Linked DNA regions of Mus musculus: all the other regions are reported to be linked to region 3. Evidence: microRNA targets listed by miRTarBase, many of them from high-throughput screens and not tested one by one. Region 3 holds a microRNA gene; each other region holds the end of a gene's coding sequence.

Evidence for each region. The annotated mature microRNA mmu-miR-3082-5p reads GACAGAGUGUGUGUGUCUGUGU and lies in region 3 at 919-940, opposite strand. An mRNA with a match to its seed (bases 2 to 7 or 8) in the 3' UTR can be bound and repressed. Matches are read on the target gene's strand: a 7mer-m8 pairs with bases 2 to 8, a 7mer-A1 pairs with bases 2 to 7 and ends in A, and an 8mer does both.
Region 1: miRTarBase lists Rad1 as a target of mmu-miR-3082-5p. Seed matches in the 3' UTR shown: 7mer-A1 at 392-398.
Region 2: the mRNA of Abi2 is a reported target of mmu-miR-3082-5p. Seed matches in the 3' UTR shown: 7mer-A1 at 2,090-2,096 and 8mer at 1,396-1,403.

Annotation. Positions count from the first base shown.
Region 1 is chr15:10,492,996-10,495,995 of GRCm38, forward strand. Rad1 (RAD1 checkpoint DNA exonuclease) reads left to right here. Exons shown (of 6, transcript NM_011232.3): 6 at 159-700. The coding sequence ends at 336. Among named protein-coding and RNA genes, the nearest start is that of Rad1, 8.5 kb to the left of the region's middle.
Region 2 is chr1:60,477,631-60,480,630 of GRCm38, reverse strand. Abi2 (abl-interactor 2) reads right to left here. Exons shown (of 12, transcript NM_001198570.1): 12 at 1-2,628. The coding sequence ends at 2,624. It also overlaps a transcript of Raph1 not described here. Among named protein-coding and RNA genes, the nearest start is that of Abi2, 70 kb to the right of the region's middle.
Region 3 is chr17:25,830,488-25,833,487 of GRCm38, forward strand. Mir3082 (microRNA 3082) reads right to left here and starts at 941; the gene lies at 878-941. Jmjd8 (jumonji domain containing 8) reads left to right here. Exons shown (of 9, transcript NM_028101.5): 9 at 23-1,356. The coding sequence ends at 103. Stub1 (STIP1 homology and U-Box containing protein 1) reads right to left here and starts at 2,432. Exons shown (of 7, transcript NM_019719.4): 1 at 2,205-2,432; 2 at 1,559-1,757; 3 at 1,309-1,474; 4 at 1,057-1,144; 5 at 822-878; 6 at 615-731; 7 at 147-523. The coding sequence starts at 2,366. The coding sequence ends at 398.

The sequences.
Region 1 (3,000 bases), not on the chromosome of region 3:
CTTGGGGATATTGGGTTGTAATCGCGGGTGGATAAGGCAAGAAATCCAGCACCTCGGTTAAGTACTTGCTACTCAGTACTAACTTTTGTCTTTACTTGGTGTTGCATGCATGGCATTTAGTGGATCCAAACAACGGCCTTTCCTTTACTCTCCCACAGATACAAGCTGTCGCTACTGAAGCCCTCTACAAAGGCACTAGCTTTATCCTGTAAAGTGTCTATCCGGACAGATAACCGAGGCTTCCTCTCCTTACAGTACATGATTAGAAATGAAGATGGGCAGATATGTTTTGTGGAATATTACTGCTGCCCTGATGAAGAAGTTCCTGAGTCTTGAATAATTCACTGACTATTTCTGTCTTTTTTTTTTTTTCTTTCACGAGACAGGGTTTCTCTGTAGCCCTGGCTGTCCTGGAACTCACTTTGTAGACCAGGCTGGCCTCGAACTCAGAAATTCACCTGCCTCTGCCTCCCGAGTGCTGGGATTAAAGGCATGCGCCACCACGACCGGCGAATATTTGTGTCTTTATAGTTGGCGTTCTCACTCTAACTCTCTAACCTTGATGATTTCATTTTGGATTGTATAGAGAGATGCATGGAGAAAATAGGAGCAAGGTCAGTCCCATTCTGTAAATCTGTAAATAGTTTTTATTTTGTCAATAAATTTTTCATATAGCCATAAATTATCCGACTTACTGTACTGTCCTGTGTCTTTTGTTCTTTTCTTTTTTAAAACTGTGTTCATGCCGGGCATGGTGGCGCACACCTTTAATCCCAGCACTTGGGAGGCAGAGGCAGGCGGATTTCTGAGTTGGAGACCAGCCTGGTCTACAGAGTGAGTTCCAGGACAGCCAGGGCAACACAGAGAAACCCTGTCTCGAAAAACCAAAACAAACAAAAAAAAAAACAAAAAAAAAAACCCTGTGTTCATTGTGTGTGTGTGTGTGTGTGTGTGTGTGTGTGTGTGTGTGTTTGCTTACCTTGGATGTATAGGCACCGCATGTGTGCCTGGTGCCTGCAGAGTTCAGAAGGGGCATTTGATGCTCTAGAGCTAGAGCTACAGGTGGTTACAATCCTCCATGTGGGTTCTGGGAACCAACCCCTAGTCCTCTGAGGTGACGACTGAGCCATATCTCCAGCATTCTCCTTTCCCCCTGACAACCTTCCCAACTTATGGGAATCAGTGAATCAACATGAATACATTGTGGTTTTTCCACTTAAGTAGATTTTTTGTTTTGTTTTGTTTTGTTTTGTTTTTTTCCGGTTTTTCAAGACAAGGTTTCTCTGTATAATAGCCTTGGCTGTCCTGGACTCAATTTGTAGACCAGGCTGGCATCAAACTCAAAGATCCTCTGCCTCTGTGTACTAGGATTAAAGACATGCACCACTATGCCCAGCCTAACATATCTTGAGAGTCTATACAAAGTTGGATGGAGCCATATCCGATATGTTCTTTTCTTTATATAATAGTATACATTCCAGGTACTAGATCTTTTGTTTTGTTTTGTTTTGTTTTGTTTGAGACAGGGTTTCTCTGTGTAGCTCTGGCTGTCCTGGAACTCACACTGTAGACCAGACTGGCCTCAAACTCAGAAATCCGCCTGCCTCTGCCTCCCGAGTGCTGGAATTAAAGATGTGCACAACCACTGTCTAGTCAGATACTAGATCTTAAAGCTGAGTGGCTCACTATCACACCAGTGTCAGAACTGTCTTGAGACTTGCTAGTGGGGAGAGCAATGTTTATTTTCTCAAGCTTCCTCCAGAAAATTCTGATGTTTGCCAAAGTGTGAAAAAAACAGCTGAACCACAGTTTGAGAGACTATTCTTGCTTTTGTTTTATTACATTCACCTCTCTCTCTCTCTCTCTCTCTCTCCTCTCCTCTCCTCTCTCTCCTCTCTCTCTCTCCTCTCTCCTCTCCTCTCCCTCTCTCTCTCTCTCTCTCTCTCTCTCTCTCTCTCTCGACAGGGTTTCCTGGCTGGACAGGTGACTTCACAAATGATTTGAGTTGAAGCATTCTATGGTTAATTTTATTATTGTTGACTTGGTTTTAAGAGTTTGTTTTGTTTGTTTTGAGACAGGGACTCTCTACATAGCCTTAGCTGTCCTAGAATTTACTGTGTAGACCAGGCTGGTCTCGAACTCACAGAGATCCACCTGCCTCTGACTCCTGAGTACTGGGATAAGAGGTGTACTGCCCTGGCCTTTGTTCCTTTTTGCTGTCTAACTGGCCTTCGAGGAGCCATCTTAGATCTAATGCCCTGGACCATCAGGACTCTTGGAGGACTCGCAGGAGCCTGTGCTGTCTTGCTCTCCATTGCACTTTTTCCTTCACAAGGTTGGCGTCCATATCCCCCACACAAAACAAGCCATGTTTGTATTTCCCTGGGTAGTTTTTACTAAAATAGCTTTTGTGGCAATAGATTTTTTTTTGTCATTAACAAAACATAATACTAAAATCATATGATAAGCCTTCTCAGTAGAAAAAATATGTCTAAAGTGAAATTTCTCTTTTCTATGCTAGACACTAACAGTCACTGATGGTTTGGGGCATGATACTTGGGGAAATAATGTTACTCTATTGCAAGATGTGTTTAACATTCCTAAAATTATCTCTTCCGGTCATTATGACTCCTGTCCCCAAATAAAAGTACCCAAGGCTACTGATGGTTGAAAACAGCCAGTGGAAGAATACAGGTTGAGTTTTATAAGTTTTTAGTTTTGTGTTTTTGAAGTTTATATCATTTTCTTTTTGGAAAATTTTGCTTGCCAGAAATAGGTAAACAAACAGCCTTTTTTTTTCTCTTTTTTTAAACCTTGTTTATTCCCCCATTTTATGTTTCTACCTAGAATTTATTTAACTACTCAAAATAGACTAAATAATTTCTTAAATTATACTTTTTTAAATCACAGAATTTCGGATGTAAAGTATTCCTGTAAAACATGGTTGCAGCTACCTGAAGGGGTAGGCTATGATCCTCTCAGCGGTTTGGAGTGGACTCT
Region 2 (3,000 bases), not on the chromosome of region 3:
GGCTGTGTACTTTGTTGTGCTCCATTCTGTTCCTGCCAGCATAGAACTAAATACAATGCATTCTTGCTACACACAGCTTTATAGAAAGGTATTTATGAATTAAGTTTTAGAAGGGGTGAATGCAGGTTGCACTTGAATTCCTTTAAGCAATCTGAATACTTTGATGGTTATTAATCAGAACATGGCATATTTTTTCAAGTATAATCCTGAATACAGATAGAACTCTATTTCTAAAGAAAAGTACAGCACGCTTAGTTACAACAGTTGGTCCGGTGGAGAGAGAACCGAGCACTGAGTCAAGAACTAACTAGCTGCTTATCTAAAACACAGCATCACTCAGGTGAGACCGGGACAAACATTGTTAAAGCTTATTAGTTCAAAAATTCTGATTCCAAGTAAATGGTGTTAGGGAAACATCAAGTCACCTTCGGGAGGAGTTTCTGGCCAAAGCTATTCATAAGTAAACAGCTCCCATTCATTTCAAAGATTTGGAAGTCTACCAACCATTTCTTCCACCAAAGCCCTTTGCAGGCGTAAAGGCGGCCTTCGGGAGACACCATGTTCTCCATGAGGAGAAAAGAGTAAAGCAAGCTGTACTGCAGAAAGGTGACCTTAAAAGAAAATGAGAACTGAAAGATAAAAGCAAGCTATCATTTTGATGTCCCACACGTAAGAATCATCTTTAATCAACATAAAACTGTTAACGAGGCAACTACATGGTAGACATCATTTGTAAAGATGCATAAACCAGTCTCTAGCCAGGCAATATAAACAGCAGTAGTACTGGTAAGGAAAGGAGGGGGTAAAAATTGTCACCCAGTGACTTAAGAATAGCAAACTCAGCAGTCCTGTGCTAATCCCTAGATGAGGACAAGTACCTCTCAGGAAGACAGAAGTAGCCAAAAGGAAAATACTGTAGGAGACATCTTTAAAAATTCATATTTATTCCAAACACAGCAGGCTGAAATCTTGGGTCTAGATTTCAAAATATTGGCACTATTTTTGTTTCTAATTTGCCTTGGCTATAAGATCAAACACAAGAATGTATTTTCACTCAGATCCTTGGACCTTCAAATATTAACAGCAAAAAAAGAGACATGTCCAGTCTTTTCTTTTTTTTTTTTTTAAGGGTAAAGGAACTGTGCACAGAATCAGACATTTCAGGATAGACCAGAGCCCTCAGTACCTGTGTCTTGGTAAAGTGGTTGCATTCTGGTCAGCAAAGTTTCAACATTTGTTTAAAATTCCTAATATCAACCATATTTTAGTTTATGGGCAAATAAATGGGAAAATTTACAATAAAACAGGAAATAACCTCACAGTATTAACAGCATGCAATCTATAAAATATTACATACATTAAAAGTCTCCGATTACTGTAGGCCTGGCTCATTGTTACAGAGTATCCTTCCAAAACAATTCATAGAATCCAAAATTGAAAAAATTTAAGATTGGGGGAAAAGGCCAACATAGAGTATTTTGTGTTTCGTTTTTAAACCCTATTAGTACTCAATAATACAAGGGGGAGGGAGTCATCTGTCCCATGGATTACCCCCAGTGCAAGTCTTCAGCACAAAGGATTTCACAAGTGTTTTCTGCAAACCCCAACTCAGCAGGAGTCCAGAAGATAAACTGTATTCCTGGTGCCTACCACCAGTTGTTTCTATGACTACAAAAGCTAGTTGTTTGCTGGGTTTCCAAACGTCTTATTAGTCAACTAAGCTTGTTCAACAAAAGGCTACTTAAATAAATAATTAGTGCAACTATTTTTCAAAAGTTTCCATGTACCAATACAATCAGAGTTAAACGTTCATATACAGTCTTGCTTGGGTCCATAATGGAACTAAAGGTTCAGAGGACTTCAGGGATATATTCTGAAGACAGTCAAGATGACCTAACAAATCCATGAAGTGGAACGTGTGCTAGAAGCAAGTTAAAGAATCCAAAGCATCTAAAAAAACTCTAAAAGTGTGAGCCGGGCGGTGGTGGCGCACGCCTTTAGTCCCAGCACTCGGCAGGCAGAGGCAGGTGGATTTCTGAGTTTGAGGCCAGCCTGGTCTACAAAGTGAGTTCCAGGACAGCCTGGGCTATACAGAGAAAGCCTATCTCAAAAAATCCAAAAAAAAACAAAAAAAAACAAAAAACAAAAAAAACAAACCATCTAAAAGCGTGATAGCTGATGTGCAATGTGGTTTTAAAATAAAATTAAAACCAAAACAGCCTGCTGCTCCTGGTACAGTGGCTCCTCCTTACAATCCTAGTATTTGAGAGGCTAGAGCAGGAAGACACCATGTCTGAAACAAACAAAACCTACAACCTTAAAGCAAAAGAGGTCTTGAGAAGAACACTGTCTGGGTCCGAGTTGCACAGTGAAGCCTCAGGTGCAGATAGCGGATCTACCAGTGGAGTGTCAGTGCCTTATAGTCTGCTTTTCTTCACATCTACAACGCTTGTTCTTCTAGCATCACCAGACAGCATGTACAAGGCCTGCATCTGGATTACAACAGCTTTACTTCCTCTTCGGTAGATGAGGGAGATGCCAATAGTTTCAAATACATACTACTGATTTTCCTCAGTGTGACTGGGCAAGTATTTTATTCTATTAGTCTTCTCCAGCACACTCTTCACTCTGAATCACAAAATTCAGAATATTACTAGGAGTGCCACTTTAGAGTCTAATCACTTCAGATCAGGAGGAGACTTATTTTTCTATAGCTGAGAGATTGAAAATGACTTGGCATCAGCTAACACTGCCATTGATAATGGTCCAAGAGCATGGTAGCAGCCTTTCATTCCCAGTCCAGTGACTGTCAAGAGACTTGACAACACTAGTCTCTGCTAAAAAATTAAAGGTGGGGTGGGGGGGTTGAATATCAAAAGAACAGTAATAGCTGGTCTGACTTCCTGCTCTGAAACAGCCTAAGGCTGGAGATCCTTAGGAACCTTCGTATCCAACAAGCTCACCTCAGTACATGAAGTACCTACACCACATTTCACATTG
Region 3 (3,000 bases):
TTTTTTTTTTCTTTTCTCCCAGGTACTGTATTTTCCTGATCGGTGGTGGCATGCCACACTCAATCTGGACACCAGTGTCTTCATTTCTACCTTCCTTGGCTAGCCAGACAGGCAACTGGCAAGCCCACTGCACCAGCACATGCCAATGTAGTGCTCACAGACTTTATTACAGGACAGTGGCAGCAGCAGCAACCTCAGCCCACCCTCACCCACTCTCCAGCCCAGAAGGGGGACAAGGGAGGCTCATGGTCCAGCAAGGGGTATGCTGAGAAGGGGAGCAGTTCAGAACCCATCAGCAGGGCCGATGGGGGCAGGCCCAGGGACACAAACTATACAGGGACTGGAGCTTCCGTCTCCAGATCCTCCTGGGCCAGGGTGCCAGGCAGGACATGGGGCCTCAATAGTCCTCTACCCAGCCGTTCTCAGAGATGAAAGCGTCAATGACTTCCTTCATGGCCAAGTTGGGGATGAGCTGTTCCTGGGTCAGAGGGCTCCGGGTCACAGGGTCAAAGTGGCCCACACGCTGCAACAGAGTCAAGAGTGTTCAATGGCCTGAGTATACCGATCCGGGTACCAAGGCTCTCCATGGCCCGGTCTCCATGGGCCCTCCTTACCTGCAGGTGCTCCTCAATGTCCTTGCGGTCATAGGTGATACCACTGGGTGTAATGCAGGGTTCCCGCATCAGCTCAAAGCTAATCTTGCCACACAAGTAGTCAGGGATATCTCGCTTCTATAGCACAAGGGGAAAATGTCTAGAACTGGAGGGGGCTGTGGGGGTCACCATACCAGCAGCAGCCGATGAGCTTCCGGGGGTCCTCACCTTTCTTTTCTCGTCCACCTGAGAGAAGAGCTCATCCATATCTGCCATGTATTTATCCTGCAGAGTTGAGTGCCATGTGTGGGCAACTCCTGTCTCCACACAGACACACACACTCTGTCCACCAGGGCACTCATGTCATGCATGGGCCAACAGATCCACCAAAGGCTGGGGCACTTTTCATGCCACACACAAACACACACACAATGACCCACATGTGGACTAGGGGCACCCTCACGTGCTTGGCCTCAATGCAGGCCTGCTGGGCCCGGATGTGGCCATCATCTTCATGACCCTCGTGGTTCCGCTGACACTCCTCCAGTTCCCTGAGGGTTAACCAGAAGCTAGTTGGTGATGGCCCTGACCAGGAAATCACAGAGCCCGCCCCATCTCAGGCCTCTTTCCTCCTGGGCTTCCCATGTACCGGTTGTTGTCCTTCAATAAAAACACTTGTGCTGGTGACTCAGTGTCTGCTGGGGGAGGGACCCACCTCTCTCGCTCAGCAGCAATGAGCCTGGTGAGATATGAATGCAGCTCACTCTCCTGGTGGATGCGCCGTTCCTCGATACTGTTCCAGCGCTTCTTCTTAGCAATGCGAAGGGCACTAGGAATATCATCCCCAAAGTTGAGTCGCTGCTCCTTGGCCAAACTATAGGCTAGGGGAGTGGACACTTTTGGTTACACTTGTCAACAATCCTGGTCCCCCAAGGTGCCCTCAACCTTGCATCTTGTCAGCCCACCTCGCTGCAGATTGGCAATGGCCTCATCATAACTCTCCATCTCCAGCTGGCACTGCCCCAGGAAGAAGTGCGCCTTCACAGACTGCCCGTCCAGCTCCAGGGCTCGCCGGCAGTCAGCAAGTGCCTGTTCAGGCTGCTGCATCTTCAGATAGCACAGGGCCCGGTTAGTGTAGTACACTGCCACAAGTGGGTTCCGAGTCTGGGGACCAAGACCAGGCGTCAAAGAGTGTGGGCTCAGTTGATCCCCTCTCATTTAGCAAGCTGAAAGCCAATGATCTGGTCAATGCTCCAGCTTTGGGGGCCCATGGCTGGAATAGAGGAACTGGAGATTTCCGAATTATCAAGAGCTCTGGATTCTGGCCATGCTTTCTTGCCTCCAACTGCTTTTGAGAGAAATCCCACAACCCCTCTACAAGCTCTGGGCTTGGAAATCTCAAGGGGCAAGAGCTCCTGGTGTCATCCTTAGTCTTACTTAATCAAGCATCCCGCCCGCCAGTTCCCAGTCAAATCAGCCCTAGACTCGGGAACAGCAATCCGGGCACCAGGGGAGCGAGCGAGCCATCGAGTCCAGGCTGCCAGAAACCCTGTCCGGGATCACAAAACTGGGAGGCACATCGGGCCCCGCCCCCGCCCCTCCCGCACTCACGATGGCGCGGCCGTAGCAGGCCGCCGCCTCCGGGTACTTGCGGCCCACGAAGAGCCGGTTTCCCTGCTCCTTGAGCTCTTGCGCACTCGGGCTCTTATCAGGGCTGCCGCCGCCACCAGTGCCCAGCCGCGCGCCGCCCTCCTTTTCCTCCTTGCCCTTCATGGCGCCGCGCGGCACGGCTTGGGCTCCGCGCCCGGCCACCTAGATCTCGCAGCCCGCGCAGCGATCAGCTCCGCCCGGTCGGCGATCCGCCACCGGAACTTCCGGTGTGGGGCGGAGCTGGCATGGGGACACGTGAGCAAAGGCGGAGCCTCGTGGATTGAGCCAGTTCCCTTAGCTCTGAGAAGCTTCCGCCGCGCTCTACAGGCCCCGCCCTACAGTAACCGAGACCTACCCTGCTCAGACCAAGGCTCCGCCCATCGGCGCTCAAGCCCCGCCCTCCGGCCCCAAGCTGGGCGAACGTGGCAGCGGTCATTGAGAAGTGGCCTTCCGAGGGCCGGTCACTAGGCCCGGGTCCTAGCGCACCACCAGGGCACACACGGGCTCACGCGACAGCCTGGGAACGTCTGGACCGCCGGTAGGAAGGCGGAATTGAGGGTAGAAGAGAGGCCCGCAGATCAGACCGCTCTCGAGGGGCTTCCTCGGGAATCGGGAGGAGCTGCCTGCGGCCATTAATGGCTGAGAAACAAGCACGTGACACGCTGACACCGAAGGACCTTCTGCGGTTGCTATAGAAGTAGCTGCGGGTGCACGGCTGGACTCTTGCCCTTCTCGCGGTCATGGGGAGGAGCTTCTT